Linked DNA regions of Lepisosteus oculatus. The protein of the gene in region 1 interacts with the protein of each later gene in a pairwise test. Links are inferred from orthologs where the notes say so. Each region holds a gene or a part of one and is shown in the gene's direction. Other genes may lie near its edges.

What was found.
Region 2: the proteins of ahcyl1 (region 1) and cdkn2c interact in binary tests that used the Homo sapiens proteins (3 or more experiments, as listed by UniProt). The two-hybrid records come from large-scale screens. The link is inferred for Lepisosteus oculatus from reciprocal best matches to the Homo sapiens genes AHCYL1 and CDKN2C.
Region 3: the proteins of ahcyl1 (region 1) and gem interact in binary tests that used the Homo sapiens proteins (3 or more experiments, as listed by UniProt). The two-hybrid records come from large-scale screens. The link is inferred for Lepisosteus oculatus from reciprocal best matches to the Homo sapiens genes AHCYL1 and GEM.
Region 4: the proteins of ahcyl1 (region 1) and slc23a1 interact in binary tests that used the Homo sapiens proteins (3 or more experiments, as listed by UniProt). The two-hybrid records come from large-scale screens. The link is inferred for Lepisosteus oculatus from reciprocal best matches to the Homo sapiens genes AHCYL1 and SLC23A1.

Annotation. Positions count from the first base shown.
Region 1 is NC_090700.1:39,788,055-39,795,927, reverse strand, and holds the start of ahcyl1 (S-adenosylhomocysteine hydrolase-like protein 1), read left to right. Parts: upstream 1-4,872; 5' UTR 4,873-5,670; coding exon 5,671-5,844; intron 5,845-7,873. UniProt on the Homo sapiens protein: Multifaceted cellular regulator which coordinates several essential cellular functions including regulation of epithelial HCO3(-) and fluid secretion, mRNA processing and DNA replication.
Region 2 is NC_090704.1:27,412,871-27,419,909, forward strand, and holds the start of cdkn2c (cyclin-dependent kinase 4 inhibitor C), read left to right. Parts: upstream 1-4,021; 5' UTR 4,022-5,707; coding exon 5,708-5,839; intron 5,840-7,039. Other genes in the region: faf1 (FAS-associated factor 1), read right to left, coding at 1-45. UniProt on the Homo sapiens protein: Interacts strongly with CDK6, weakly with CDK4. Inhibits cell growth and proliferation with a correlated dependence on endogenous retinoblastoma protein RB.
Region 3 is NC_090705.1:7,493,805-7,501,654, reverse strand, and holds the start of gem (GTP-binding protein GEM), read left to right. Parts: upstream 1-4,842; 5' UTR 4,843-4,979; intron 4,980-5,476; 5' UTR 5,477-5,480; coding exon 5,481-5,811; intron 5,812-6,060; coding exon 6,061-6,137; intron 6,138-6,442; coding exon 6,443-6,647; intron 6,648-7,294; coding exon 7,295-7,572; 3' UTR 7,573-7,850. UniProt on the Homo sapiens protein: Could be a regulatory protein, possibly participating in receptor-mediated signal transduction at the plasma membrane. Has guanine nucleotide-binding activity but undetectable intrinsic GTPase activity.
Region 4 is NC_090706.1:41,167,791-41,175,107, forward strand, and holds the start of slc23a1 (solute carrier family 23 member 1), read left to right. Parts: upstream 1-4,299; 5' UTR 4,300-4,386; coding exon 4,387-4,419; intron 4,420-5,611; coding exon 5,612-5,731; intron 5,732-6,255; coding exon 6,256-6,413; intron 6,414-6,552; coding exon 6,553-6,641; intron 6,642-7,301; coding exon 7,302-7,317.

The DNA of each region.
Region 1 (7,873 bases):
CAGTCAGTGCCTACTTCTGTTGTGAGGTTTTGACTTTCTAGACCAGACGCAGGCGTCAGGGCTTGGAATTGAGTATGGCGATAATCTCGTCGCTGTCTCTAGAGTCGGCAAATTCCCGTTCAAATGACAGCTAGTTTGCAAAGGTCTCTCATATGAGGACTTTGTCTTTAGCTAAAGAAAAGCTGCATGAGCTAATTTTCACTTGTTGCTTGGTTCCTGTGCCTGCTTTTAGATTGTTGAGTAGTTTTACGAGTTACTCTGAAGTTAATATTTTACTGCAAAACACTATGAGGACAACAAAACGCAAGATTCAAATTCCGCCTGAAATATTGTATTTAAAATAGCTTCGTGAAGGTGCCCCCCCCATACAGACGGCACAAACGCTTAAACCCACCTTATTCGTTAGTGTTACGTTTGTGCCGGTTTGTGCCGTTGAAAGTAGCGTTTGTGCTGCTTTCGTTCCCGAGGTATAGCGCCTTGTTCGTCCTGTGATCGCGTGACCATGCACGATGACTTTGACCTCCAGTGACTCCGTCTGCCGAGTTCAAGCGCTCTGATAGAGTTTAGCTCGTACCCTTAACATTCAATATCCATAAACATATAAGTCTCCTTAGATGTGAATAATACGAAGACATGACGCATGCCAACAAGTAACCATCTATGACATAAACCTGTGGTTGTAATGTACGTAAAATCACCGTGATTGCAAGATCTATGGTTTTTATTTTGTAAGGCACATTTTCCTTTTCTTTCCCTATCGTGACACACTGTTGCCAAACGCGTAACTGTGTTTGATACCATCGTGACAAGACCTCCGCAGCACGTCATGATAGGGACCCCATATATATCGCATATATATCGCGGCGCGGCAGTGTATATCACGGCTGGCGCCTTGCTTCCATGCCACCCTGGCACCGCTGTCACAACAAAGGTCTCATATCAGGACATGATATACCCAGATAGGACGTGTCGCGAGATATAATGATCATAGACTTTACATTTCTATTCATTTTTGAAGTACAAAGCAGAAGGTGTTTCCCCCTACCTTAAATATACGATTAAAATTGTCCCAATATCATGTATTCATTACAGAAAGCAGCATCGACAGTTATATCGCAAATAAAAAAAAAATATTTATTTAGAAGAGTACGTGACATTGTGAATCAATAAAGAAGTTAAAAAATAAGCCGATGTAGTTATTTTGTAAATAAGTAAAGCATTTTAAAAATAGATTCTCATTGACAGTAAACAAGCGATCCACCTGGCGCTGCTAGCTCGAACAGACCCGTATTTGGCTAAATCCCCGAACAGCTCGGGCCGCGATTGGATGAAGAGTCAGAATTCTGACACTCTGATTGGGTAAAGAGTCACAGCGGAAGTTCCGAGAACATGTAGAGACATGGGCGATGGATGTTCTTCTTGGTAAAAATACTGTAGCCCCGGTTAATCGTGTGTGCTGTATGAGCACGCTGGATATACAGTAGCACATCCATTGGTTTCCAATTACTAATCAATCAAGAGAAGTCGCACTGAGGTAAAAACTGAATAGCAGACAACGAATGTCATGGCATCCGCAGCGCGTTCACGACTCCGATAGCAGGTCACGATAAGAGTGACATCGCGATACCCATTGCGACTGGCGTATCACTGTCATGGCGCCACTGTTGCCACATTAAGTCCATATATCGCGATATAACATACCGCGACAAAACGACCCCGCCCCCATGTCGCGACATGAAGCCCGCATATCGCGATATGATATACCCCGGCAAAAATGCGCAGCCGCCATATCACGACATGAAGCCTGCATGACATACCCTGGCAAAAATGCCCCGCCCCCATGTCGCGACATGAAGCCCGCATATCGCGATATGACATACCCCGGCGAAAATGCCCCGCCCTCATGTCGCGACATGAAGCCCGCATATCGCGATATGACATACCCCGGCAAAAATGCCACGCCCTCATGTCGCGACATGAAGCCTGCATATCGCGATATGACATACCCCGGCAAAAATACCCCCCCCCATGTCGCGACATGGAGTTCATATATGGTGATATGTAAAAAAATTATTATTATTATTATCATTATTATTAAAAAACCTGCCATGCCCATGTTGTGACATGAAGCCCATATATCGCGATATGACATACCGTGACAAAATGCACCACCCCCATGTCGCGACATGGAGTCCATATGTTGCGATGGGATATACCCTGACAGGATTGCTGACCCCCTGTCTATATCGCGACATATCTTATCTGGGTATATCATGTCCTGATATGAGACCTTTGTTGCGACAGCGGTGCCAGGGTGGCATGGAAGCAAGGCACCAGTCGTGATATACACTGCCGTGCCGCGATATACATGCGATATACATGGGGTCCCTATCATGACGTGCTGCGGAGGTCTTGTCGCGATGGTATCAAACACAGTTACGCGTTTGGCAACAGTGTGTCACGATAGGAAAAGAAAAGGAAAATGTGCCTTACAAAATAAAAACCATAGATCTTGCAATCACGGTGATTTTACGTACATTACAACCACAGGTTTATGTCATAGATGGTTACTTGTTGGCATGCGTCATGTCTTCGTATTATTCACATCTAAGGAGACTTATATGTTTATGGATATTGATTGTTATTAAAATGTTAAGGGTACTAGCAAAACTGTAAAAGAGCGCTTGAACTCGGCAAACGGGGTCACTGGAGGTCAAAGTCACCGTGCATGGTCACGTGATCACCGGAAACCCAAGGCGCTATATGTCGGGAACGAAAGCAGGAAACGTAGCACTAACGAATGAGACCGGTTTGGTTTCCATACGACATTGAAGGGGTGCTGAGTGACGTCACGACCCCCAAACAAACAAGGTGCTATATCTCGGAAACAAAAGCAGCACAAACGCTACTTTTAACGCCACAAACGTAGCACTAACGAATGAGGTGGGTTTCATCATTTCTGCTGTCTCTAGGGGGGGCAACTTCCCGGAGCTTTTACCTTGTCTTTAAATATTGAGCGGACTTGAGCATAACATACCAGAAGAACGTGCACACACGTTTCAGAGGTTGGAGTAAATGCATCCGAGGGTAATATCGAGCGAGGAGCCATGAGAAGAAAAACTGCGAAGCTATTAAAATATTAAGTTCTGAAGATCTTGTTTGATCCTTCATGATGCTTTTAAACTTGTATGAAACCCACATTAGTATTCTATTTTCGATGCCAAAAGACAGCTAATTTGGATATTCGTGACTTCCCACAAGACTTAACACCGAATTGTTATAGTCGCATTACAGTGCTAACCAATTAATCGTACCTTTAATTGCAAGAAAGGTCTGCTAATAAAAGCGTCAAATACATACTTTATATGTATTTTAGCTATGTAAACGTCGTTCACGTAAAAATACTGCAGGGCATTTAGAGGTGATCCGAATAGTTATCTGTAAAATGCACAATCGCATCCATCCGTCAATATTTTCTTAATGTTAGGCATTCATTCCAAAACTTATCATTTGTTTACAGGAGAAATTTTAAAACCTCTCCGTGCTTAACTCCTACAGGTCGAGCATGTATCGAGCTGCTACAAGCAAACGCGTGCTCTTGCGTTCCAGAAACACTTGTATTCGGGAAGCCAGGCTGTTCTCCCTAAAACCCAAGATGCCTGTAGCATCTCATGTGTCTTTATTTGTTTCGGGACTGGTCTGGTCATCTACAGGCGGCTTTTTGAAAAACCTAAATATATGCATTTGTTTTGCCATGTTGGCTAATAAATAGAAACCTAGCGCTAGATAGTCTGGTCGTCTGACGACAGCGATAGACAATTAGGTTACGGCTACACATGCACCGCCGCACTACATTTACATAATTTTCTTATTGGTCACAAAAGATAAAGCGAGCCAATAGCAAATCACATACGATGAAAAAAAATCAAACACGTAACATTAAAAAGCAAATCATGGAACACAAACAAGGGGGTGGGGGGGGATCTTAAATTACTTTGGACTGATTGGGTAGGGCTAGGATCATTCAAGCCCACCCGTGGCTACGCCCCTGCCCCGAAGTCGCTGACTCAGGTGCGTGCTTAGCGGTGGTTCAGATAATTCGGTTTCGGTTCGCTAAGTGGCGCCGCGGTGTTTTTAATTTCAGGAACAGCTGCGCAACGAGGCTGAGAAAATACCGGTAAATGGGATACTGGGTTTGTGGTGAAGGAGCTCTGCACTTACACTCTCTCAGAACCGACTTCTTATACAATGACACAAACAGATCCCTACCCAAACCAAAGGGTTTGTAAAATTGTGATTACCAGTTGGTTAAAATTGACAGCGGAATTCGCTGTGTTCCCATGACAATTGTTTATAATCAATTGGCTACCAATCTTAATATGACAAAAAAATACGTCAAATGCAGATATACCAAGTTTAGTGTTAAAACACGTTGGGAAAAAAACATTTTTGGAACTGAGGATAAAATCATCTTTATACAGCGCCTTTAAAAGTAGCTTTATAGTGACAAAGGAGACAAAATTATCACAAATAAAAACAAAGGATTGGAATGTAGTAGATACAAGGAACAGGCAGACACCAATAAAATAAACTATTTCTGAAGGCTGAAAAAAACTTTTATGATCTTATGTTCAAAACCATACACTTCAAACAGTTTCACAGGAAAAGCGTTTTTTTTTTCAGATACAAATATGATACAAAAAAAACTAAGCAATCACCGCGTCTCATTCGTTTAATTTTGTAGACGCTGCTTAAGATAAAGCAGTTACACGTTCGATTGACTTTCATGTGCAGATTTGTATCCTGAAGAAATGCAGACAGATTCTGTTGTCCATTTGCAAACTCATAATGTTTTTAATGATCCTAGCTGATCGTTACGAATAGTGTGCACCTTTATTAAAGTTGAATTCTGGCTCAATGAAGTACTGCTTTTGTGAAACAGAGGCTATCCATCTTTAGCTTGCTGCTTTTAAATTGATAAGGAATTGCATGGGTTTAACGGATTGTTGTACCCTTCCTATACATATATAAACGCAAAGTAAGGTACGCTTTTAAGTATCATTGTAGGAAGGTGCACTTTTTATTTTAAAAAACAATGTAAAATCGCAATGTCTCGCATACCGCAGTCGTCTTTGCTTTAATTTTTAAGTTCAAGGAGCATTGCATGGTTCTGCAACTGACGCCATTACAGCTCTGGCGCTGGAGTGTCACGAAGTCTTGCTAAGGCGCCGTGTGAGCCACAATGGCGAAACAACGGTCGCAGTTTCCTAGCCGGCACCAGCTTCTGTGAACCGGTGTTAACAGCCCCAGCGCCTCCCATACTCCCCGCCCGCGCGACGCGACTCGACTCGAGTCTCTCTTCCAGCCCTCCTCGCGCGCCGCCCGCAGCCGGTTGGTGTTGCGTAGCTGCGCGTCGGAGGAAAGGCAAAGTCAAGGCTGCAGTGACGACAGCAGTAATTATTAAAAAAAAAGACCAAAAATCACACAAGTGCATTTACATCCTTCCACAATTACAAGAACGTATGCGCTTTTGCGGTAGTAGAGCCGGACCGCCTCTCCTGCCCGCAGAGAAGAGGTGTCAGTTCCGAAGGCAGTAATCTGAGCCTCAGCAGAGACAGACCTGGCGCTACTCTTCACTGTAGTACAGTAGTAAGATCCAACTAGCGTACAATGTCGGACTCCGCGGGCGACGGGAAGTTGGAGATGAAGCAGGCCAGCAAAGAAGTGAAAGAGAGCGAGAATGTGGCGGAGAAATACTCGGCGATGACCGTGGGCAAGACCAGCGACATGGGCGACCTGTCCTCCGCCTTCAGCGCCGTCACCTCGCACAAACCTGTCAAAAAGGTGAGACCCGTCTGTGCTCCGTGTTCCCCCCGGGAGTGGGGGCTGGATTAAAAACGGGGTTCACGCATGTAGCTGCAGCTGTAGTTGCAGCCGGTGACGCCGGAGTTGTGAGCCCGCAGTCCCGGACAAACGCGTGCGGTCTGTCTGTCCTGTGCGACTCGGCTGGATCTCTGTTGCTCTTGTTAATGACATCAAAGACGAGGACCTAACTCGACATGTTTTATTTATTTTGTAGTGTTACAACAGCCACAGTAGAAGGCACCGTTCTGCCAGTAATAAGGATAAGCACTTTTGTGTGAGCCAGAGTACATGCGTCGTGTAGTATCATGATAACAGGTAAAGCGCATTGATTAGTTGAGATCGCGAAGTCAGCCCGCAGTGTCATTTCTATCGATTGCTGTAGTTCACCCGGCGGTGGGTTTCGCGATTAGTCGTTTCTTTAGCCTTGCCTGCTTAGTACCCAGTGAAAGGGAAACATGTTCTTTATTTACGTACTTAAATTGGTTGCCTGTAGATGACAGATGAATTTGACAGGAAATAATTCGCGGGCCTCTTCCTATATATGGCGTATAACCGCTAGAGACATTGACATTACTGTTTTGAAACGTGTTGGCCGGGCTGTGCCGAGAAAGGAGTTCGTTGGCTGAATTAGTTCTTTAAGAATCTCAGTAGGGATCATACCTAATTGTGTGGCATTACCAGCTGACATTTCAGAATTTAAGAGGTTCACACGTTCTTAATACCCCCCCCCCCCCCAAAAAAAAAAAAAAACGCAGCGAAAAACACTCAGTAAGATGTAATTATACAAAGTGTAGTGTATAGTTTTTGGTCTTCTATTCTGCTGGTAGGCAGCTTTCTTTGAAGGTGGTACTATGACATGCCTCTGTAACACTCTCGGGTGTGTAATTAAACTCAGTTAAAGTGCTTGTAATCAGACAGGCCAAATTAGGGCTTGCCACAGATGCACACTTCATGCCCACGTTTTCAGTGTGAACCTGTTTCCGTCAAGAACAATTACACAGGGTGGTTATTTAGCCCCAGGCCTGTTCACACGCATCTGCATCTATTTCAGAATTGATTCTTTGTAATGCCACTGACATGGATCTCCTGCCGAGCACCTGCGGTATGTGAAATACATGAGGCAGTGTTGTCGTCCGGACTGGTCTGAGGATCTCTGGATGGGAATTGCCCAGTGCTGTGGATGGTTGGAAGGGCGTCAGTTCTCTCGCCAGCGCTGTGTGTGGCCTGTGAGCCGCAGTGCCACGATCTGCAGGAGCCCCGGTGGTTTCTGTGCGTGCCCTGTCTGCAACGGGGCCAGGCCTGCTTTAGTCACTGGTTCCTTGTATCATTGTTTGGAAGAACAATGATGTAACGTCATGGCAGGCGAAACCACAAATTGAATAGCTTACTTTTTGTGAATAAAGTTCTTTAATTACTGTTTTTGATCATTGGATTTGGTCAACGTAATAAAAGAGTCTTGTGGCGGGTGTGTTGCGTGTCTCAACAGAGACCGGCGCGGTCTGGGTGGCATGAAGGCAGGCTGCGATTTTCTGCCCTGTCACGGGGCATTGAAACGAGCCCTCCTGTGGGCCGTGTGCTGGGCTGTGCCCTGCAGAGCCTTGCGGAAGTCTGCTGCCGTCACGCTGTCCGGAGTGTTGAGTTTGTTGGGTGAAGAGGGTGAGGTCTGTGGCGCTGCTTGTGTGTTCGTGTGTGTGTGGTTCCAAAGGTCAAGGGTATGTGCTGAACGCTCACGGTGTTTCCTTTGGATTTAAACGGCCCGCAGGGAGTTTGACTGCTCCTCCAGCGAGTTGAGAGTGTCAGAATCATTGTGCATTCTAGCTGTGACTGGATGTGACTTTTAAATGTTTCGGCACGTCTTTCTTGAGGAGTGGGGAGATTGCTAGCTGTGGCTTCGCTCTTCATTGATCCGCCTGTAGGCCTCGTGTTTGTACAGTGTTGAACGCAGGAGCTGGTGTGCAGTTTCACTGGTAGCTGAGACAGAAAGTCCAAGAGGACAGAGTTAATGAGC
Region 2 (7,039 bases), on another chromosome or scaffold:
CAGAATCATCTCTCTGTCCATGTTGCTACCGCTATCGGAGGCCATTGCAGTGACTGGCTATCTCTCTCTAGTGAAAGCAGGAGGGGAGAGGGGAGGGGGCTAAGGTTTCATATAAAAATGCCGTCGGAAATACACAAAAACTACCCGAGCCCACCCGGGGAACGGGACTACGCAGGTAGGGAAGGTGAAAACGGCGGCGTTATCCCGCAGTTTCGTTGGTATTCCGGATCTTTTTTTTGTGGGTTTCAGCCTCTGATGAACCAACACTTTTCCTTTTTTATGTGCTCACAGGCACCTCTCCAGTTGCTTTACGGCAGAAGAAAAAACGTCGCACGGCTAAACGAAAAAATGCTTTTCGGCAGCGTTGATGGAAAGTTTTTAAAGAGATAGTGTGCTTTTTAAATCCAATATGAAAACATTGTAACGCAAGGATATTGTCGCGTTATGTGATAATTTCGTTGGAGTGTCTTGGTGCAGTTGTTTACAAGGCTGAGGAATAATAATACTGCGAAACAAAAAATAAAGGCACACAAAGCCTATATCACACAAGGTTTGACGTCACTCTTTGGGGAGAGAGGGTATTAACACTTTTAAATTAAAATAAAAAAAATTAAAAACAAGTTGAGTTTCGCAGTAATTAGGCAGTTACTATCTCTGCCATATCAGACTCTCTTTACACGGTGAACTTGTGCATGAGGTGCGATTGGTTAAAATGTTATATATAGAAAATAAATATTATTGGATTCGAAAGAGGAGAAACACTCATACAGTACTCTCCACCGAGTTGGAATGTGGCCACGTCAGATATGAAGTGCACTCAGTTAACAGCGCAAAACTCTACACAAGTTCAAAATTAGGTGATCCCAATAATAACAATGTGCTGTTTAATATAGGTTCAGAGCTTTATGAACCAGTAGATCCGCAATCACCGGATGTTCCACATTCCTTGCACTGTTTGTTAAAACAAAATGAACGACATTTTTTTCCTAATGACGTTTTCGTCATGTACAGTACTTAGAGTAAGACCGTCATACAGTAGAATTATGCACAGGTGTTTTTCAAGCATGTAAGGAAGGAATGTGTGTTTTTGACTGATAAACATATTGTGTGTGTAGACAATCACCTGTCAAGGCCAGAGTCAGGGCTATTTACTGCAAAACATGCCTTGTTTTGGAAAACTTACTACTGACAATTCAAATGTTCTGGGAAAGCCTCTTCTCCTCTCAGGGCCAAAATAGTTAAGCAAAGCTGATTGTTGGTGGACCACTAGGTGGCAGTCTGCTGAGAGAAGAAAGTTCTCCTGTGCGAGATATATACCACATTGAAATCCTGTGTAGTGGCCTGCCCAGCTCACTCCAGATGGCTGTCAAGCTGATGTGCCAGGGAGACTGCGCGCTGGTTGATCCCTGTTGTCCACATCACAAGCGTCCGTGCCAATCACTGCAGCCCGCCTGACATTTCAGGAACTCTTACGAGGCCGAGTTATGGAAGTTGATGCAAGAACAGCACTGAAACTCATATTCAATGAATCATCATCTTGATTTTATATTGGCGAAAAATACATTGTTTATCACCATGAAATAAATAGCATCTGCTTTCATGAAATGGAAAACAAAGTCCTGTCAGATACCAGTCATTAAGGATCCCCAGGCATACCCGTTCCCTGGAAATCTTCCATTTTGGCTTATTCAGTCTGGCCTGTACTTAAATGTTATGTTCAATCAGCAAAGAAATGTAATCACTTCTCTTCCCTACTTGCAGTGTAGTGAACTGCTGGCACAGAACCACTGCTGTATTCCACCCCTGAGGGTGCTGCACTTCAGTGGTGGATGAAGTCAGTCCCTAATTACATGTGAAGAACTTTATGATTATTTGAGATAAAATAAGTTATATATGAGGTGTCATTATTATTCCCTCCTTTTGTAACGATTATATTAAATTTTCATGGTAAAACATAAATGTCTGTGCTATAAATCATCAAAAGGATGTAGCTGTTCAGAGAGCCCCATGGAGAGAATGTCTCCCTTCTCCATAACATTGTAACAAAGGTAATTTTCCTTGTTCACATTTTCGTAGGGCTCAATCCCAACTCATGCTTTCTTCTTGTACTTCTGTGTGTGTGTGTGTTTACAATATCCATCCATATTGTAAAAAGCCTCTGCTTATTTGTGAACTTGCTTATATTCCCATTCAAGAGGGCCTTATCAACCTCTTCAACCCCAGCTTACACTGTGCATTTTACTGAGTAACTTGCCTTGCTCAAGATTTTAACAGAGGTGCCCTACCTTGGACCTGAATCCACAGCTACCCAGTTATAAACCCAGAGCCCTAACCACTACGCCTTCCTTGCCAATAAGGAGAATGACCTAAGTGCCCTGTCTCTGCCTTCCTTGCCAATAAGGAGAATGACCTAAGTGCCCTGTCTCACTTATGACCCACACAGTTGTCTGGGATCCCGATTGTTAAATGTATAGTATACTGTTTAATTTCTGAAATCTGTCATCATGACGTCGTCACTGTGCCACTAATTTACCCTGACTACATGTCATGAGAAACTTGCTGTACACAGTCAAGTTAACTGTTATTGTCTCAATTAGAGGATACATTGTGTAAATCTCACTACAAGACCTCCTTCTTTATGTAGTACAATCATTTTCATTTCTAATCACAATCGACAGAGCACACGTTTTGGTGCGAAAGTACAGCATATGTTTCACAAGGCGGCACTCGCTATTTATAAAAACTGAAGAAAATATTTCCATTCATTTTCAGAGACAGAGGGCGCAGCGCTGCTTGAGTACACACCAGGCAGGCGCTCACGACAGACTGCTGCTCTGCCACAATGTCCAGTTTTTATCTGCTATACGTGCTCTGCATGACTGCTGTTTTTGCTTGTCTTGTTTGGTTGTCGTCTGCTGTAGCCTTTGAAACTCGCATGTTGGACATACAAGGGTGGAGGCGGCCCAGGGGCAAGAAGGACTTGCAGACCTGATTGCGTTAATTGCATTTCTTGGGAGCGCACCGTTCAGCCAACACACTGTACGCTGTTACGGGGTTTTCGTGTTCAGTTTGGTTAATGTTAAACATCTGTGGGAGCAGAACACCATTCATATTTAAAGTGCATAAAATAAAAAAGGCTCGTTTGCGTATAACCTTTTTGAAAAGGCATATAGCAAATGAGATTAGATGTAGCGTGGCGAGTTAATTATATAGCTCAGCACTGTCACTATGGAGAAAAACGAACGCTTGATTCCAGCATAATGCTGATAGCAAGTATATATGTTTCGCTGTGTAAATGTATTATCATCTTTATCTTGAGATGCCAAATTACCACAAAGTAACAGAAATTTTAAAAATAATCACTATCGTTTCAGTGAGATATGAATGCGAATCGTTTTCATAATTCCAGTCTTACACGGTCTGTGGCGTCGTTTATTTTCGTTCTTTTTTCCATTTGGTTCCCAACAGCTATTGGCCAAACGTACCAGTTGATAAGCCTTGTAGAAATTGAAAGCTGCGTTATTAGCAAGGTAGATAATTCGACCTGGGAAAAAGACTGACACATAATGGTAAAACAGTTTCGCAAGCGTTCAAGTCGAAGACGCAGACTTCGCAAGGGTCTTGGCTATGATTTTCAGGTTACCGATACTTTTAAAATACCGGTAATACAGAGTTTAAAGGACAAAACATCAGAATGTAAATGACTCTCTTGATAAAAGTCCTGTATACGATGTTTCTTGGTCCGTGTATAACGAAAAGCTAAAAACCTGAAGGTGCAAATGAAATATGTGACTTTTTGATCTCTACAGAGGTGGAATTTGGGTACGGTTTTCGTCTAATTCAAAATCCTGTCCCAGTGGCTTTGGTCAGAGAGTAAGGCAAGCTAGGTTTCTCGCCCCTGCCCCCTCCCGTAGAAGCCGGAGCGACGACAGAGCGGTCCAGTCCCAGCTCGCCTCCCCCTGCTCTTTCAGAAGCGACTGTATCTGTCAGCCCCGCCTCTGATCTGTTCGTTAGCTGTGTGGGCGGAAGAGTCGGAGGAGCTCCCTCTTTTCAAAAATGAGTGATGTCAATGAACAGCAACAAACCACTTTTTCAAAAAAAAATCACTCGTGTTAAAAAAAAAAAACTACGCAAAAAGGTGGGGTTGGCAAATGGAACTGCGATGAGGTCGGGGAGGGGGGAGAGCAACAGAAATTTATTGCAAATATTATCAGTGTTGAAATAATGCTTTTAAGGTTATGGCAAGCGGATCAGCGTTAATGCGAGTGAGGTCCTTGATACGACACAAAGGCAGGAAGGTACTAGGTTTCTGTAACAAATCACTACAGAGAGATGGCTTTACAATCAAATTTTAAAAAGCGAAAAGGAAGGGCCGAGATGGAGGAATACAATACCGTACCTGTTTTGTGAAGATACTGTACTGCATTGCCGCGATATCGTGGTGTTGCCTTTTTTAACCGAAATAAACAACCTCTCATCAATAATGAAGAAAGCAGGACGCATTTGAGCAACCCTTATTTCTACAGTTACAAAAATGGGCGGGAAGTTTGCACAAAACTTTGAAAACACAGCCTTTAAGATGTCATTGGATACAGCTACTCGTTAAACAGAAACAGACCTATTTTTCCCCATTTTTGTTTTCAGTCCAGAATTGCATTAAGACTGGCTTTGAAACGTACTTACTGTTTGCAAAAGGACCGGTTTAACTAAAACCATGCTCTTTTATGATCGGATATGCTGTGTGGACGGCCGCTGGCGATGTGACTACCTGTATTTTTAAACTGATCGCTTTTGGGATACAGTAACCGAAATATGGGTTGCACCTGTATGACAGCGTTTGCCTATTTGGATTTGTGAAAGGCAAATACCATTTTTGAGGGCGATTCAAGGAACTTACCTTAAATGCCAAGCGCGCTTTTCAAACAGAAAACGGTTTGTGAAATGAGTTAAATGTAGCTCACTTCATGACTGTTGCTCAGAAGCCGGGACTTTTTTTAATCATCTCTGAACCCGACCAATACGTTGGTGGGCACAAAAACATTTTAAATCTTTCGACACCAACTAGCTAATTTTGCATTTTTTTCGACCTCTGCGCATCCCGGTTGCAAACGCGTGGTGACAGGTTTGAATCTTTTATCTGTCACCTTGGTGTTTTTCTCCGTAGAAGAAAAAGCGATTCCTGGATTTCAAATACGGATAAGCTAAGAGGAGTCTTTCCAGCAGCCGGGTTTTCTGAAGAAACCACTACAGGAGATGTCAAGTATCTGGGGTCTAGGGTCTATAATAATTTATTTTAAGCAGTAACAGTGCGCGGAGTCATCGGCAGAAAATCCGGGTACGAAGGGATTTCTCCTAAACCCGACCAAGACCGAGCGTCTCCGAGGGCATTAATGATGGATTTGTTTTCTGAGCGATGCTCAGTGAAAAAATATAGATCTGTGTTCCTCGTTCTGGAATGGCTGGACATCCCGATTTTTCGAACTGATGTAAAAATGAAGTGGATTGTGTTTGTGGGATGGTGTTAAAAAGGGAGGCGGACCCTGGCCGAAGCCCAGTTTCTTTTACTGTTCAATATTTACTACAACCTTTTTGGTGGCTCGCGTCACTATAGGTTTACCATAAAAAAGAAGCAGAGCGTACTGTTACAAATAACACCCAACTTTTTTTCCCAAGAAAATATTTTTCAAATATTTTATTTCCATAAAGAATGGCTGGTTCTTCAGAAGCAAACAGGCTTGCCAGTGCATCTGCAAGGGGCGATTTAACTGAAGTTGAAATGTTATTACAAACGGGGGCAAATGTAAATGAAAGGAATGAGTTTGGCAGGACTGCCTTGCAGGTTGGTATTGCGTTTCTTCAGACAAAATTGCACATTTTAGTTAAAAAAAGAAGCGGTAATTTTGCTGTGGGACTCGGTCCATAGGATGCACCGTTGTACAGATGTTTGACACCCTTAGCAAAAGGTAGCTTCGTGACGTATCTGAAAAATGAATGATTATTTTATGGCATAAATACCCTTTTCTCTGTTCCAGATGAAGTCAATTAAGATGTTTTTAATTGTCTTTAGAAAACAATATTATCAGTCTGCTGAAAAGATAGTGGAGGTTATACTTAACGTGGGACGTTGTTTTCTTCTTCGTTCGTGGTTAGCTGCTCCATCCGAGTCCGGTTTTCCAGCCCTGGGCATTTCGAAATCCGCGAAAATCACTAACGTCAAATACTCGCATTTTGCATCATCGCATATCATTCTTTTACTAATTCGGCTTCTTTTACGGTCTCGTTGTGTTCATAGTCTGTTGTTCATAAAAGAAAGACAGATTACGTTAGTAAGAATATGTTTTAAAAGGCTAGCCTTTGGGAATCTCGGCGTGTATGTAAAACTATAGAAAATTCGTCGCAAAATAGTGTCTCGGTAACTGCCCATATAAAAAAAAAGGAGGCAGTATACTCATCTGACCTTAACTGCAGATACACACAAACCTACAGTATATTATTACATCTCTCATCATGTAGCTCATATATATGTAAAGTATAATGTTCGACCTTCATTGAGATATTGATTAGAATAAGCAGCCTTGCTAATTGTTCATTTATGTGCAGTACCTCGATCCACGGACTGATACCTTACAGTAAAAATAACCCGTTCTGTACAGCACATACTTTACGGCTTGGCCTAAGTTGAATATGTATTTATATCTTTATAATTAATAATGTGAGAACTTCTATTCCATATTACGATAACAAGTAGAATTAATTCACTTTAAAAAATAAGAGTACAACCTCCTTATTTCTGCAATCTGGAATGGAAACCTGACCCCCGGTTTCTGAGGGGAGCTGAATTTTTAAAAATACATATTTATCAATAATTTTAGTTTCAAGTAAAGGCCATAACTACAGTCAGTAGTGTGAAATATCGCTTGATAGACTAGAAGACAATAATTATTTCTATGAATAAGCAGAATGCATTTATCTCCTATCTTGATTGGATATCAGTTTGGAACTATGACAGGTTTTTTAACCCGTGGGAGGTATGTATCAT
Region 3 (7,850 bases), on another chromosome or scaffold:
TTATATTTAGATCTCTTTGTCTCTAGCTAAGCCATCTTGAAAGCAAAATAAGGCTTAAAGGCCACACAGAAAACATAAACCAGCCAAATGCATTACTCTATATCTAGAACTACTCTGTGTCTCATGTTCTGCAATACCACTTTAGCAGACTGCTCGGGTCCTCACATAGAAGGGGAAAATTATTTTTGTTTTGTTTTGTTTGTTTTGTTAACTGAAAGCATGTCTGTTTGTCATGTTTGTTGTGTAGTGGGAAAAACACTGTAATGAAGCAAGACTTTATTTCCCATTTGAAGGGAAATAAACTGGTACTATAATAATTGCTCATCCAAATCGTAGAAAAAGCTCTACAGTAATGCTCACAACTGAGACCATTGGTGGAACAAAAGTGTGATTTTTCAATTGAAGTTCTTCTTTCAGACTTTCGCTAGCAACACATTGTGATATTGGTTTTGGTACATAAAAAGAGCTGGCCTGTCTATTAAAATACCACTTCTAAACAAATGTGTCAAATGCTTAACACATTCGTCTAAAAGACTGAGCCTCAGGATGGGTCACCTCTGTGAGTGCCTACTGTATCTCTAACGGGTAAAAAATATGATAGAATATTATCTAATAGAAAGCAGCCATCTGTAATATCTTTCAAATATGGCTCTCCAGAGACTTGTTAAAACCATTTAAATATGTTTTTTCACAGATATTTCAATGGCAAATAAACATTTGGGTTCATTTGTCTTTTTTGTTAAAATACGATGTTACAGGGCTTACACGCTATAACAGTTCAGGTCCCGGTTGTTGTAGTATATAACATGTTTATGCATATAAAATAGTACCGAAGATGCCAAAAGTGATTCTTCAGTTTCAATTTCCACAATTAACAATAACAATCCACTTAACAGTAAGGAAGAAAACCTACACAACCCCCATCCTTAGACCTACTTAAAGACTCATAGATTCCCATCGCGGTCCTACTGACACAATACTATTTAATTGCCAAGGTCTTCAACTTCTCTGACTGCACCTGAATTTACTGTCCATTGTGGAGAATGGTAGCCTAATGGAAACCTTGATATATTTTCTCTGGGGGAGAGACCACTGTAAAAGTGACTGAAATAAGATAACCGCAAATCGATAGTCTGCGGAGTTGAGACATCACCTGTCATTTCACAGATCTCCTTTCACTGTGCTGCAGGAACATACTGTAGTAGTTTTAGGGCTGCAATTTCAAAAACCGATTAAGTACAGGAAAATATTTATTATAAAATCTAGTATCATAACAGCTGGTTGGCAGCAGTTGGTGTAGTGTACAGTATGTATGCAGTACATGGTGTATTTCATTCAGAGACTGTAGTGTTGATTCTGGGGATACGATCCACGCTGGGCAGACACTTGGCTAAGGCTCGCATGCTACACAAAATTCAAATTTAAGGTGGGGAATAACTGAGATGAGCTTGAAATTATGTGAATTTTTTCACTGTCTTGTTCCCCACTAGGAAAAAAAGGTGTTTTTTTATAATTTTGCATTGGTTTTTGTAGTTAAACTAAACCTGTATTTTTTTTTTCTTTTAATGGAAGCACTGGTTACAATTTCCTTTCTGAAGCACAGCACCTTTTCCATACCTCCACCTTGGTGCTACGGTAGCTTATAGGTTTCCTCATATTCGAATTGTCTCTTATTTCAGCTGTGGCCTCCAGCCATGGCCTATTTTAAAAGTCTCCGCCGGTTTAATCTGATTTATCAGTGCCAGGAAATAGGCTGAAGCTTGTGCCACACGAGGTGCTGAATGCATTCTGACAGCATGCATGGATTTTATTTTCTCTTGACAGCGTTTGAAAAATGCATTCGCTTTTTTAACTTGTATCACCTTTCGCTAAGAAGCTTCAAAGAGAGGCAAGTGTTAATTGCAGTTCATTTGTCCACAGCAATCGATGAGCTCTCCCCTGGGTGTGGCTGTTTGTTAGGATACAATAAATGATTCGGCTGGGTATTACTCTCATTTAATCTATGATATCCCATATTCCATTTTCAATAATTCATTGCTGGTCATGTTTTCCAATGAAAAGCCACTTACACTAGCAGCTTAAATGAATGTTAATAAAGCAACGTAAACGATGATCTGTCAGTCTATGTAGTAGCCAGTGGTGAGTTGTTAATTTTACTTTCATTCCTTTCATATTTCCTTTCATATTTGTTTTTATTTTAATGCACATTATTCAGAAAAGTCTTCCATTTCTGGATGACATCTGTATGTTTTGTCACGAGTATAGTTTCAGCCATGCAGACACTTCAGAGTTTATCCTTGTACCTTCAACCCCAAAATGTACAGTGACAGCTGACAAATTCCCAAAAAATAATTTCAAAAACTGCTTTTCAGCAAGATGGAGGTAAAAAACACTAGATCTGTTGTTTCAAAACATACTAGATAATTTAAAAGAGAACTGTCATGAATACTGTTGAAACACAATTCATTGTTCTTAATCTAAACATTTCTCCCCGTTTGACAGCATGCAACTGTTAACAAAATAATGAACTGACCTCCAGGTTAAGATGTTTTTTGGACCAGATTCAGCATAACCCAAAGTGACCTACCCGCTAGTGGAAATAGCTTAATGTATCATCTATTTAGAAAGTCTTTTAATACATGTCTTATTCAACTCAATCTCAAACTAATCACCTTAATTAACATTTAAGGACCTTAATATAACCAGCTTACTCTAGAGTGATCTCTTGATTATGGTTCCAGACAGAAATAGCCAAAGATGACCAACCCCTTTGCAGTGAGGTATTTGTGATTAAGTAATTGGCACACTGGCTAAATGAAAAATCTTAAAACATTATGTCATTATGGGACAACAAAAGTAAAATACATCAAAAGAAATATATTCTAAATCATTTAGTCATTTTTAAAATGTAATTTCAGGCACATTGTGTATTTTTAAAAATGATAAAGACGAAGACATTTTTCTCTTGCCATCCTTGTGTTTGAAAAAAGAGACTCGGGGTAACTGAAGTCACACCTTTACCAAGTTATATTTAAAAAAGGCAAACTAAAAATAAAACCAATATGATAAACATGATCACATTTTACCAAAAAAATGCATTGACAAAACCTTACATACAACTATTATTTGTCTCTACCAACAATACAAGAAATGTTCGTATAAATAGAAATAAAGCCTGATGGACTTCTCTCACAAAATAAATTTGACACAAAATATATTCAGTTCTTTCAGCTTGTGAGTGTAAGATACTGTAGATCTGTACTTCAGACTGATTCCACATAAGCAATGGCTTTTTTAAAACACGGTGGCCAAACTTGTACAAGATCTTCGTACAAGGTCTTGCTAATTGTTCCATTTTAACATGGCATTCCTTGATTGAACTATATACCCTATGTGTCTTCTGTACGTCCTTTGTATTGCTTCCGCACACTGGCTAATGGAAAGCAATGTGTCAACCTAAATGCTTACGTTTACTTTGATAGGTACATTTTTCAACATCCTCCCCAGGAGCTGCAGTCACTGGGTCTGCACCTGCTCGTTCTGTCTGCTCGTTGGACGAAGATAATCACAGGGTATAGTCCCTTGCTCCTTCAGAGTCCCCAGCTCCTGTACATGTAAGGTACGTATCTCTCTTGCAGTGTTTCTGCACTGTAGGAGAATAGAATCTCCCACGACCACCACTGTTTGCCTTGTGCTTTCCCGGATGCTTCTGGGATAGGCGCTGACTCCCCCTACAACCCTGTCTTGGATAAAGCGATCCGAAGTAGGATGGATGGCTGGGTGGTAGTTAAGTTAGTGTAACGCATACGGCCGACATTGCAGGTCGTGCGAGACCGGCTTACCAGCGCGGTGACGTTACCACCCTTCCCTGTGAAAAGCAGGGACCGCAGCTGTCGGGCTGAGGGGAGATTTCCCTTTGCCTCAACTGCCTGGGTCCCTGTTGAGTCATGCCGGCGGCCCGGGTTCGAGTCCCCAGCGGTGGGGGGCTGACCCGAGGCGGCAGCGGCGAGGGCGCATACCCACGTTAACCCCGAGAGTGCTACATTAACATGGCGTGCATAACTTAAGAGAAGTTAAGTCAGTATATAATTAATTTGGTCACACTTTAGTTTAGGGGCTGTGGAATTACACGTTAGAAACGAATAGTCCAGCAGTTAATACATTTTCTAGTGACTCTGGATTGAAGAGGTAGAAACAGATGGATGGATGAATGGTTAGGACCGTATAATTGCCTAAACCTGTCAATAACACATGCGGTTATTTAGTCGTAAATTGCATCTCATACTTTATCCTGGGATCTTTTGCCTTGAACTTCCAAATCCTAACTGCCCTGTTTCCAGGTACTGGAGTTGAGTAAATAAATCTGGTGATGTGATATTATGGCTCAGTGTTAGGAAATATTGTCCTGTTCTTCATCCTGTGACACATATGTGACAAACTCTATAAGATTGTCTTACAGCTTATTAGCACTAAAGCTACTTCTATTTCTGCATGAAAATGAGTGTTTTGTCAGTGGTATTCTAGCTCGGATTTATGTATGGCCTACAGCGACAAGCACTGGGAATGGATATTTATTTGGGCCAATCCGAATGTGAATCTAAAAAAAAATTCCATAGATAATGGAATGTCGTCGTGCTTTCGAGCGATAGACGTTTGTCGTATCGTAGCCACCCTTTCAAGTAACAGCAACAGTATGTTCTAGGCGAAATTCCAAGTTCATCCACAAGACTAGAGGAAACCCTCTCCGTCTTTGTTTCACTGTTGTCTGGCTGGTAAGCGAAGGGAGAATGACGTCACGGAAAAGCCCTCGTCTTTGACCCCTACTACTATATATAAACCCAAAGAGCTGAAAGCACATTAGTGGGAAGCAGAGAATCTACTGGGATTTACAGCCCAGCGCACAGATCACGAAACCCAGGCAGAAACACCGTCGAACAATCAAGTGGTTCTGGAGTTTGCGCTGCTCCTAACTGGATAATGTAAGATATGTTTTTATTTTGGGGGAAAAAAGTAAAGGAAACTACAATGCAATTATTATTCTATTCTGCATGTTTTGTTCCAGTATTTTGTATTGCATCTTCGAGTTAATAACCGGGTTTAGATGCTTAAAGAACTTTGTATTTGGGAAATCTTACAGCTTAGACACAGTTTTAATTATACGTTTTTATTGCAGCGATCATGGTTATTTTTTGTTTTATAGACATTCTTATTGTTATTCTCTAACAGTGAGTAATTTTGATACATTTTTAATTAATAAAAATCAAGGCTTCTGAGGGGTGCGTGCACGTCTCCTTGTTTTTAAGATTTAAAGTTGCAAAGAGATGACATGGCTGTAGAAGGTAAATTCAGTGATCAACAATGTGGAGTGTTATTTTTTCAAAGACATTACATCTTTTTTTTTTACGGGAAAAAATGCATTAAGAAACTCTTTTATTCCATATTTTTGTAATTCCGTTGCTTTCCCCCCGTGCTTCAGAAAGATGACCCTTCACGTAACCATGAGACACAGCAGTGGCTGTCTGCAGCCCCAGCAGCACCGCTGGAGTATCTCCACCGACGGCAAGCATCTCCTCAGCAAGAGCTCGGCGCTTCAATCCGGCGTCTGCCGCTCCAAGTCCTACACCAGCGCCGGCGAGTCGTGCAGGGGCAGCTGGTCGTCGGACTCCTCGGACTCGGTCATCTCCACCGACTCCTGCGCCAGCCTGTTCAGAGTGGTGCTCATCGGCGAGGACGGAGTCGGGAAGTCGGCGCTCGCCGGCATTTTCACGGGCGCCCAGGACAGCATGGACAGCGACTGCGACCTGAGCGGAGGTCATTGTTTTTATCAGCGTTGTTTTCCCGTGCAATGGGGCTTGTATCTTTAAACGGGTGCGGGGTTATTAAATTATTCACGTTCGTTTTAAACAAGCCAGTCGATCTTATATGTGAACAACACCCTATTATTTTATTTTTGACATATTTTTTGTGTGTGAAGGAGATTAAATATTTTACAGCTTTATTCGTATAACTTGAACGCACGGACCCACGTAAACCGTTTTAACGTCTTTTTGTTATTTATAGAAGACACATATGAACAAACGCTGACAGTGGACGGCGAATGTGCGACAATCATTTTATTGGACACCTGGGACACTCAGGTAAGATAATAAAGCATAGCATATAACATAAAATACGATATATCCTACCCATGCTATTTTCACTGTGTGATGTGCAGGTGTTTTTTTTAAGCATTGTTATTTGCATCTTGCCCATTTTATATACCGTCTATTTTATCATGCATAAATGAGTTATTTTCCTTTGTATCGTTTTTACAAGAGTAGTATGCGAAAGCGAAAGCTTCAGTTTTGGCCATTTTAAAACTTTAAAAACAAACCATTAAATCCATGTTTTCTGATCGCTCGGAGTCTTGCTGTTTCTGAACGTCTGTGCTGTGCTTCTGCAGGACAGGGGCAGCTGGAGTCAGGAACAGTGCATGCAGGTGGGAGACGCGTACCTCATCGTGTACTCAATTACCGACCGCTCCAGCTTCGAGAGAGCTTCTGAGCTGCGAATCCAGCTGCGCAGAGCGAGGCAGATGGAAGACATCCCCATCATTTTAGTGGGCAACAAGAGCGACCTTGTGCGGTGCAGAGAGGTCTCAGTGGCAGGTAAGGTCTCTCCCTGTAACATTTTGAAATCCCCTAAAGGGGGTTGATGTTTTTTTAGAAGGAGCGTGTAATCACAGCAAGACCCTGTGAACTTTAATAAATACCTCTGATGCCGTAAGATGATAAAATAACGTCATACGATAAATTTATGGAGCAATATGACAGAACGAGACCCAAACTTAACGCAGAGGTTTTATTTTGTTTTCGACGGTGAGCGCTTGTGGCGGAGAGGAGAAATGAGATTTGCACCCAAACTAGCTTTTGCAAAAAAAAAAACAGATCAATAATAGTCTTTAGGAGTCCCATAAGAGTAAAAACTGAAATCTCTATGTATTCTCTGTATGGAAATGTCACATACTGGTGCCATATGCCTGCATACACATTTTAATAATTAAAATCTGGCTAAATAAGAAGATAACTTTGAAATGTAATTATTCAACAGAACACTAAGCAATAGGTAATTTGGTTCTGTGCTGCAGAGAACTGATAATGAATGATTAAGACAGTATAATTACTGTACCTAAAGCTGTACATAAATCATAACCTGCATCTCATACCTAATAGTTATATCAGGAGTTGAAAGTGTTTGGTTCTGTTTTATTCTTGTTGAAGGTGACACTTACATTTACTTGGATATTTTTTTGCAGAGGGCAGAGCCTGCGCAGTAGTATTCGACTGTAAGTTCATCGAGACTTCGGCGGCAGTGCAGCACAATGTCCGAGAGATGTTCGAAGGGATCGTGCGACAGGTTCGGCTTAGGAGGGACAGTAAGGAGGCCAACGAGAGGCGGATGGCTCGCAATAAGAGGAGGGAGAGTCTTCCCAGGAAAGCCAAGAGATTCCTGGACAGAATGGTGGCTAAGAACAATAAGAACATGGCTTACAGGCTGAAATCCAAGTCTTGCCACGATCTTTCAGTGTTATAAACCCACTGGCGGGCTTTCCATCTCAAGGACTTTATAAGTCACAAGTCAATCTACATTAGATTGCGTTACAAAACTCCAGAACAGAGGGTGTGACAGATCAGCTCTGATCTACCGCTCCTGTTCCTCTGTCTGTAACAGATGGAAGAATTGCTTGGAGATATTCGTTCACGTACAAGAGGGTATTGAGTAACAGGTAATAGAGAGACTGACTCTAGAGGGCTGCAGAGAGTCCTCCTGGTCTGTTTTCTTTATTAAAATTAAAATGAAAATAACTACAG
Region 4 (7,317 bases), on another chromosome or scaffold:
GACAAAGTGCTTCCACACGTCCTCTCCCAGCCCTTCCCAGCGGCAGCTCTCCGCTCTGCTGCCCGAGCGCCTGACTCACACTTGTCTTCAGAGGAGCGTGCTGTCTCGGTACTGCCGGGCCGCGACCCGCCTGCGCGCACGGCGCCAGACGGCCACCCCAGAAACACCCCTGACCCCTGCGCTGGCTGTGGGGTCACGCTGGGCCTCTCGGTTTCACTGCAGTGCTTCTGGAGCAGCCCGTCAGCGTCACTACTCTGTTTACCCAGAATGGGTTGACATGATTATTATTATAACAGAGGCATATGTTTTAAGCCTGCTGTAGTCAAAATAATGTTAAGGGACAAGCAATTTAAGTTTTTTCAAAACACCTTTTTTCCGTTTCAGCTTCTGACGCTGCTGAACTCAGCTGTGCGGTATTTCAAGGAGACAGAGTAGTTTAATGACAAGAACACACAGTGCTTAAGACCTTGGGCTTATATTCTGTGACCCAGGGAGAATAAGTTATTGGGGGTCAACTGTGCCAAGGTTCTTCTTTAATGAGGAGGAGAAAATCGTGATTTAAAATTGTGTTCTCTCCAATTTTAAATCATGAGGTGTTATCCAGTGTGCAGCTCTTTACTGAAACCCTAAACTGCTATTGGAAGCTTAAACTTAAATCATAGTTAAATCCACAACCAACTTGATACAAAATACCTTGAAGAAACCCATTTGTAGCACCTCTGCCAGCCAGGGCTTGTACAGTCCACATCACTAGTCCTGCCCAGTTGTGCCATGTGATCAAGAACCTGGTCTGGAAGATGCTGGACCCGAGGACAGCCCTGCTTCGATTCTTCTGCATTCCAGTTTAGCATGGAATTTAAAGGCGTGGGTCACTGGTACATCCCTCCATCCACTTTCCAATCCACTCATCCGATACGAGGCCTCTGGGAGAGCCGGAGCCTAACCTGGCAAAGTACGGGCGCGAGGCAGGATATACCCTGGACAGGACGCCAGTCCATCGCAGCTGCTGCTGGAGCACAAAAGCCATAATTGGACAGGTAATGGGGGCTGATAATCCTGATGGCAGTGTAAGTGGTGCACAGAAAGAAAATTCCACACCATCGCAACCTCATTATGAGTTTTGATGGTGTCAGCTGAGTCTGGCTGAATAGAGAACGGTTTGCCTGGTCAGTGATGCAGTGATGCTTTTTCCTGCATGCAGACCTGTATGTGTGTGCGGTTGTGAGTCCAGTAGGACGAGTAGCACAGAGGACTGGCGGAGGTGGGGGGAAGTGATATTTGGGCGAGTTAGTCACTGCACACCAAATGTCCGGTGTACCTCCTGGAGGACAGTAGTGTTGTTTGTTGTCCTCGTGATGTCTTGAGGGGACAACGTACATGGGGAGGTTCCTCTCTCCTGTGTAAGCATGTCTCTTTCCCTCTAGTAGTTGCCTTTTTCTGTAACATTCTCTGTGCCCTTTTAACTAAAGAAAGATTGACGTTGATAAGGAGAGGCGTTTGGAGGTTATGGGAGACCGAATTTTGCTGTAACATGCAAGTCTTATTCCAGAGGAGGAGACACTTGGAATAGACGCTGAGGTGCATTAATAATGCAACAGTTATGTATTGGTGTCAAAACTCGGTTTAGTGGTCAAAATTAAGGGGACACTGCAGTACAACAGAAAAACACAAAAAGGGAGGATCAGTGCAAACAATTTATATAGAAAATTATTGGCCTTTCTCAAAAGGAAATGTGACAGAGGGCATGCATTGTTTCACCCATATATTGCTCTGTGTGCTGGGGCATCTGAGCTTCCTCTCCTGCATGGTGGCAGTGTCCATTCGGCCAGGAGTCCTACTAACTAACTAACGTTTACTAATATATTTGGGTTTCTGTTAAGAATGTGCTGACCTAGAGAATGGAATTTGTGTCACTTCCTGATGTTTACTGTGTGGGACTGAGACCTCACTGTCTGGAAATCTGCTGTGTCCTGTATTTCGAATGACTGGACTGTTAACTAACTTAACTGCACTGCCCAAGACCCAGAGACGGTTCTTCCTGTGAAGCTTTAGAGCCTGTAAGAGTTTAAGAGTTACATCTGGTGGACCCAGATGAAGCTTCCAAGTTTGATATTCAGCAGGAAAGTAGTTTTCTTCCCATATCACACAAGCCCACACAGTTTCGATGTCTGTTGTCAGATTCTCAGACCTGTCACAGTGGAATTCTTTCATTTGTGCGATCTGCACCCAAAACTGACTGACAGCTTTCCCATTCACACCCAGACTCGCCGTATTTCTGGGCAAATATTTAGAAAGGAAGTATCCACAGCAGTGTGGAGCAGACAGTATTACTCTGGCCTGGTAACTAGGAGGACCACTGCTGTTGTAACCTGCTCAGATCCTGTCAGAACGCCGCTGTGTGTATTTCAGGTAGTCTGCTCCCACAGAGATGTTACTTTATTTTAGGATTTGTACCACAAGCAGTCCTCGCTTCTTTATGTGCTTCTGAATATCCATAGGTGTAGGTATATAAAAATAATAAAGCAACTTTCTCAACACGGGGATGCTATACATGGTGATAAAGTAAAAGACAAAAATACAATCAAAGGTAAATGAAAAACATTACACAAGAAAACAGAAAAAAAGTAGGGCCTCAGTCAATCAAACACAAGCCCTCATAAAAAAAAGTGAGTTTTAAGTTTGGGTTCTGGGAGGGTGAAATAACTTGTCTCTCATAGAGTTGGAGAAAGAGCATTTCAAAACGCTGGAAGTACGACAGAGAGGGCACAGTCGCCAGGAGTCTGAGAGTTAGTCCTGCGTACAGTGAGCAGAGCCGACAGGAGGGAGCGTGAACATGGAGGGGCTCCGAGGTGTGTGATGGAGCCAGATTGTTCAGAGGCTTGAAAGTCGGCTACATAATCTTGTATTGAACATGTGACTTTAAAGGCAGCAAGTGAAGAGATTTAAGAGTAGGAGTAAGATGTTACAGAGTTTTGCACATTATTGCATCTTACTGAGAAGAGTGTTGGGGAGCCCACAGAGTAAAAAGGTGCACAAATCAAGCATTGATGTTATGAATGTGTGAATTATCTACAGTACCTATACTGTAGGAATGTCATGAAAATACATCGTGTGTAGATCACTTAGTTACTTAACCTCCTTCGGTGTTTAGGAACTGAAAACACAGAACCTACCTGAAACCTGGTGAGATTCTCGAGTTGAGCGCTCAGGTGGACCAAGCGCCAGCAGGTGTGGGAGTCCCCTGGTTGAGAGGGTTGTTGTAAAATGACTGGCTGTGATCTGCACAGTCTGGATAGTCGCAGGGTATAATGCACATAGACTAAAGAAATAAGTTTGCAATGAGCTGCTTCCATGCCGGGCGAAGCAGACACAAGCCTCAGGTATCCCAGAGGAGGTGGAAGAGCTGGTCATTGGTGGGTATTTGGCTCCCCCATGTGTTTGATATGTGTATTAAACTTTATTCCTGTTCATGCACTGCAAAGCTATAGGGCAGCTCAGTCTGCACGCCGTCCTGGGTCCTGGTAAGGTTACAGACCGGGCTGCCTTCTGTGCAGAGTTTGCATGTTGTCCCTGCATCTGCACGGGTGGTATCAGGGTGTTCTGGTTTTCTCCCTCCCCTGGGTGCGCTTGCTAGTTGATTGTGACCCTGGTGTGTGTGTGTCTGCCCTGTGATGGTCTGGCGTCTCGGCCAGGGTGCCTCTGCTGTGAACTCCGCCAGCGCTGCACACAGCAGCAGCAGTGAAACCCAGGGGCGTCTATAGCTGGAGTCTGTGCCAGTCCTGATCCTGGTGATCAGTAGCCTCTCCTCTGCTGTAGTCCTGATCAAGCTGGTCATACGGCATGTGCAGCCGGAGCAGTTTCCAGAAAACTCCACTGTGGAACAGATGAACCAGGACAGAAGTATCTGACGCGGAGGGAAAAGAAGGTGAGCTTGTTATTTTGGTATTCCAAAACTACTTCAGACTTTCTGTATTAAGTATAGAAACATGAGCCTTTACTATGGTACAGCCTTATTACTATGGTGCCGGTGCCTGAGCCAGCCCAGCTTGAAGATGTGCTGCAGGAAGGTTCTGGACTGTTTCGAACTGTGGGGGTCGGCTCCCTTTGTCCTGGGATCCATGAAGCCCTGGAATCCGGGGTTTACCGACACCTTCGCGTGAAAGAGCTGTCAGTAAGCAGTTTCTTAACCCACGGTATCATCATTGAGGTTATTGTTTCACCCTCTGATTAGAGATGTGGGTAAAGTCCCTCAGCTCGCGGAGATGATTAACTGGCTTAGTCTTTTCTTTCCTGAAGTGGAAATGCTCTCTTTGCTCAGTGTCACTTTCCACCACACAGCTGTAACCTCAGCTCTCTCCTTCCCAGCACTTCCCAGCCGCGGACAGAATGGAGAACCGGGGCGCGGACGAGGATCCCAAGGTAACTGATATGCCCAATCCGTGAACGTAGCAGGAGCAGATTCGACCTGGGTCTCTTTCCACGTGTGCCGAGAATCAATACAGGGAAACTGATCGACCAGCAGCAGAATCTTTCTGTTTTGCCTTGGGTGTGCAGTTTCCAGCTTGTGCAACATCTCAGCACCATGAGTTTCAGGACAGGAAAGTCTGCACGTGCAGCTGTGACTGCTTGACATTTGCTAACAGCATTTTTTTAGGTTAGTGGGACCAAAATTTATATAAAACCTCTTTTATATAATACCTTCCTGCCTTAAAGGGTGTTTCTTTATTTTAGGCTGATACATTGAACTGTAAAAATAATAGAGCATGGTACAAACAACATATGAGATTCTAACTAATGTTTTGTATAGGTGTATTTATTGGAGCATAGCTTCCATCACATCTGATATCACAATGAAACATTCAGTTGAAGATGAGGGTTCACACAAAGAGACTTTGAAAGAAGGGCTGTTTAAAGTGGTAGGGAGTGGATTGACTGTTTAATTAAGCTGCTCCCAACCCATTGCTCAATAGCTGGCAGACCTCCTGGCCTAAAAGCATCAGGATCACCAGGCTGGAGCTGTGCTGAGTCCCTCTCACGTGGAGCTCTTATCAGGGCAGAGTTACACATGTAGCTGTTTTTACTGCAAGTCTCCTCCTCTGATCACTCTTGCTGGGGCCGTCTGGCCCCAGGTGCTGGTCCCTGCCTTGGCTATCAGCCCCTGCTTCTCTCCTCCCTCTGCCCTGATGGGAGAGGCTGAGTGAGCACGACTCCTCTCTTGGCCTTCTCTGGCCTGCCTGGACACACGTTGCTCCAGATCCCTTTATCTGGTCCTCCCAAGACAGTCCGGGTGTCGTGCAAGTGCTCAGAGAGCCTGTGGGGATGGAAAGAGCTGTGGAAATGGAAGGAAATCCGATGAGTTATTAGTGATTAATCACACATGTGTGAAGACTGTACGGCATGACCTTGCAATCCACCCAGAACAGATTCCCGGATGTTGACGCAGAGTAGGGAACGTCTGAGATTATAGACACTCGACACTTTCCAGTGATCTCACCTGTGGCTGCACCTTGCCGCCAGGCTGCCCTACATCTCTGGTCTCTGGTGCAGCTAATTCAAGCGGTGACTGAAGGGAAGCAGTGCCCTCTCACGCCGGTGTGCCATTCCTCTCCAGGGAGACGTGCCTGTGCAGAACGAGAAGCACCAGCAGCCTCGGGCGGGCCAGGGCTTTGACATGATCTACAGGATCGAGGACGTGCCCCCCTGGTACCTCTGCATCTTCCTGGGACTGCAGGTGGAACACACCGTCTGCCTGGATGGGTGGAGGGACAGACAGACTAGTCTCACAGGCAGGCGATTAGACAGACAGCGAGAGAGAGGAGTTTATTTGCCATACGGACATGTGATTTGGGACTTCGATTCACACTTTCCTCTCTGGATAGACGACACTTTCACACAATGTGCACAGCACATGAGAAAGCAGTAAATGATAATAACACATTATGACAGTACAGCAAACGCATACAAGGGGAAGTACAGAGTAATAAATACACAGGACAGTCATTCTATAGACAGACTGATTGCAGATCTCCAGAGATCCCTGGAACTGTAAAAGCACCAGGGATCTTCACCACCCCTGTCCAGAACTATCAGAACTCTCCTTTCACAGCTTTAGACTCCAGAGCACAGCTTTCTTTACCTTTCTCTGAGGCCAAGCAAACAGCACCTGACTGTCCCAGACAGGAGGTAAATAAATGGGCTGGATGCCTGTCTTGCTCTGGCTTGGCTGCGTCTCTGACCCTGCGCTGATCTTCACAGCACTACCTGACGTGCTTCAGCGGCACGATCGCCGTGCCCTTCCTGCTGGCCGAGTCCCTGTGCGTGGGGAAGGACCAGTACACGGTCAGCCAGCTGGTCGGGACCATCTTCACCTGCGTGGGAATCACCACCCTCATCCAGACCACCTTCGGGGTCAGGTAGGCGGACAGAGGGACGCGCCTGCTTTCCACGTTGAGCAGTCCAGTTCTTCAGGGAACTGGTGTCATGGCTCTGTGGTGCTCTGTGTCCGTGTCTATGTTTGCTGATGAACTCTCTCGAGTCCCCTTCTCTTCACAGGCTCCCACTCTTTCAGGCCAGCGCCTTCGCCTTCCTCATCCCAGCGAGAGCCATGCTGGCTCTCGACAAGTGGAAGTGTCCTCCTGAAGGTACAGCCTGTCTCCGCGGGGCCGGTGCTGAGGTCTGGCCTGCAGGGTGTATTCCAGCGTCAGTGGTCCTTGCATGTTGCCCCTCCCCCCCACCAGAGGGCGCCAAATATTCATCATCAAGGCCTGATTAATTTAACACCTCACAACTGAAGAAGGCTCCACGGCCGAAATGTTGTGTTTTCTTTCTTCTTTTTTCAGCATGGAATAAACCTATTACTTGTTCCTCTGCAGCCTATGCAGGCTGATGCAGCTACCTTCCTGAGTAATTTTATATACTGTATGTAGTCCACAAGGATAGTAAACTGCTTCACCTGTGTGTGTAATAGCAGTATCAATCAATTGCAATCCTCACAAAGGCTTGTTTGATATGAGCTGGTGTCACAGAGTCAGGGAGAGATCAGGAGATGCTTTGTTTTTTTTTGGCTTGGCGCAAATCCACTTTAGTAAATTCTGGATATTTTGACCACAGCTGTATCTGTAGTAGAGTTAATCTGCAGCGATATTCTGAGCCATACAACAAAGCTCAGGAACTCCCGGAACGTGCCCTTTCAGTTTCTAGCAGGAGGAGTAAATTCCTTTTTGCTGCAATATATCACAGTCAAATGCGTGCCGAGGCTGGGCGTGTCTGGTCCTCTCTTTGTGACCTGTGCTGTGTTTCAGAGGAGATCTACGGGGA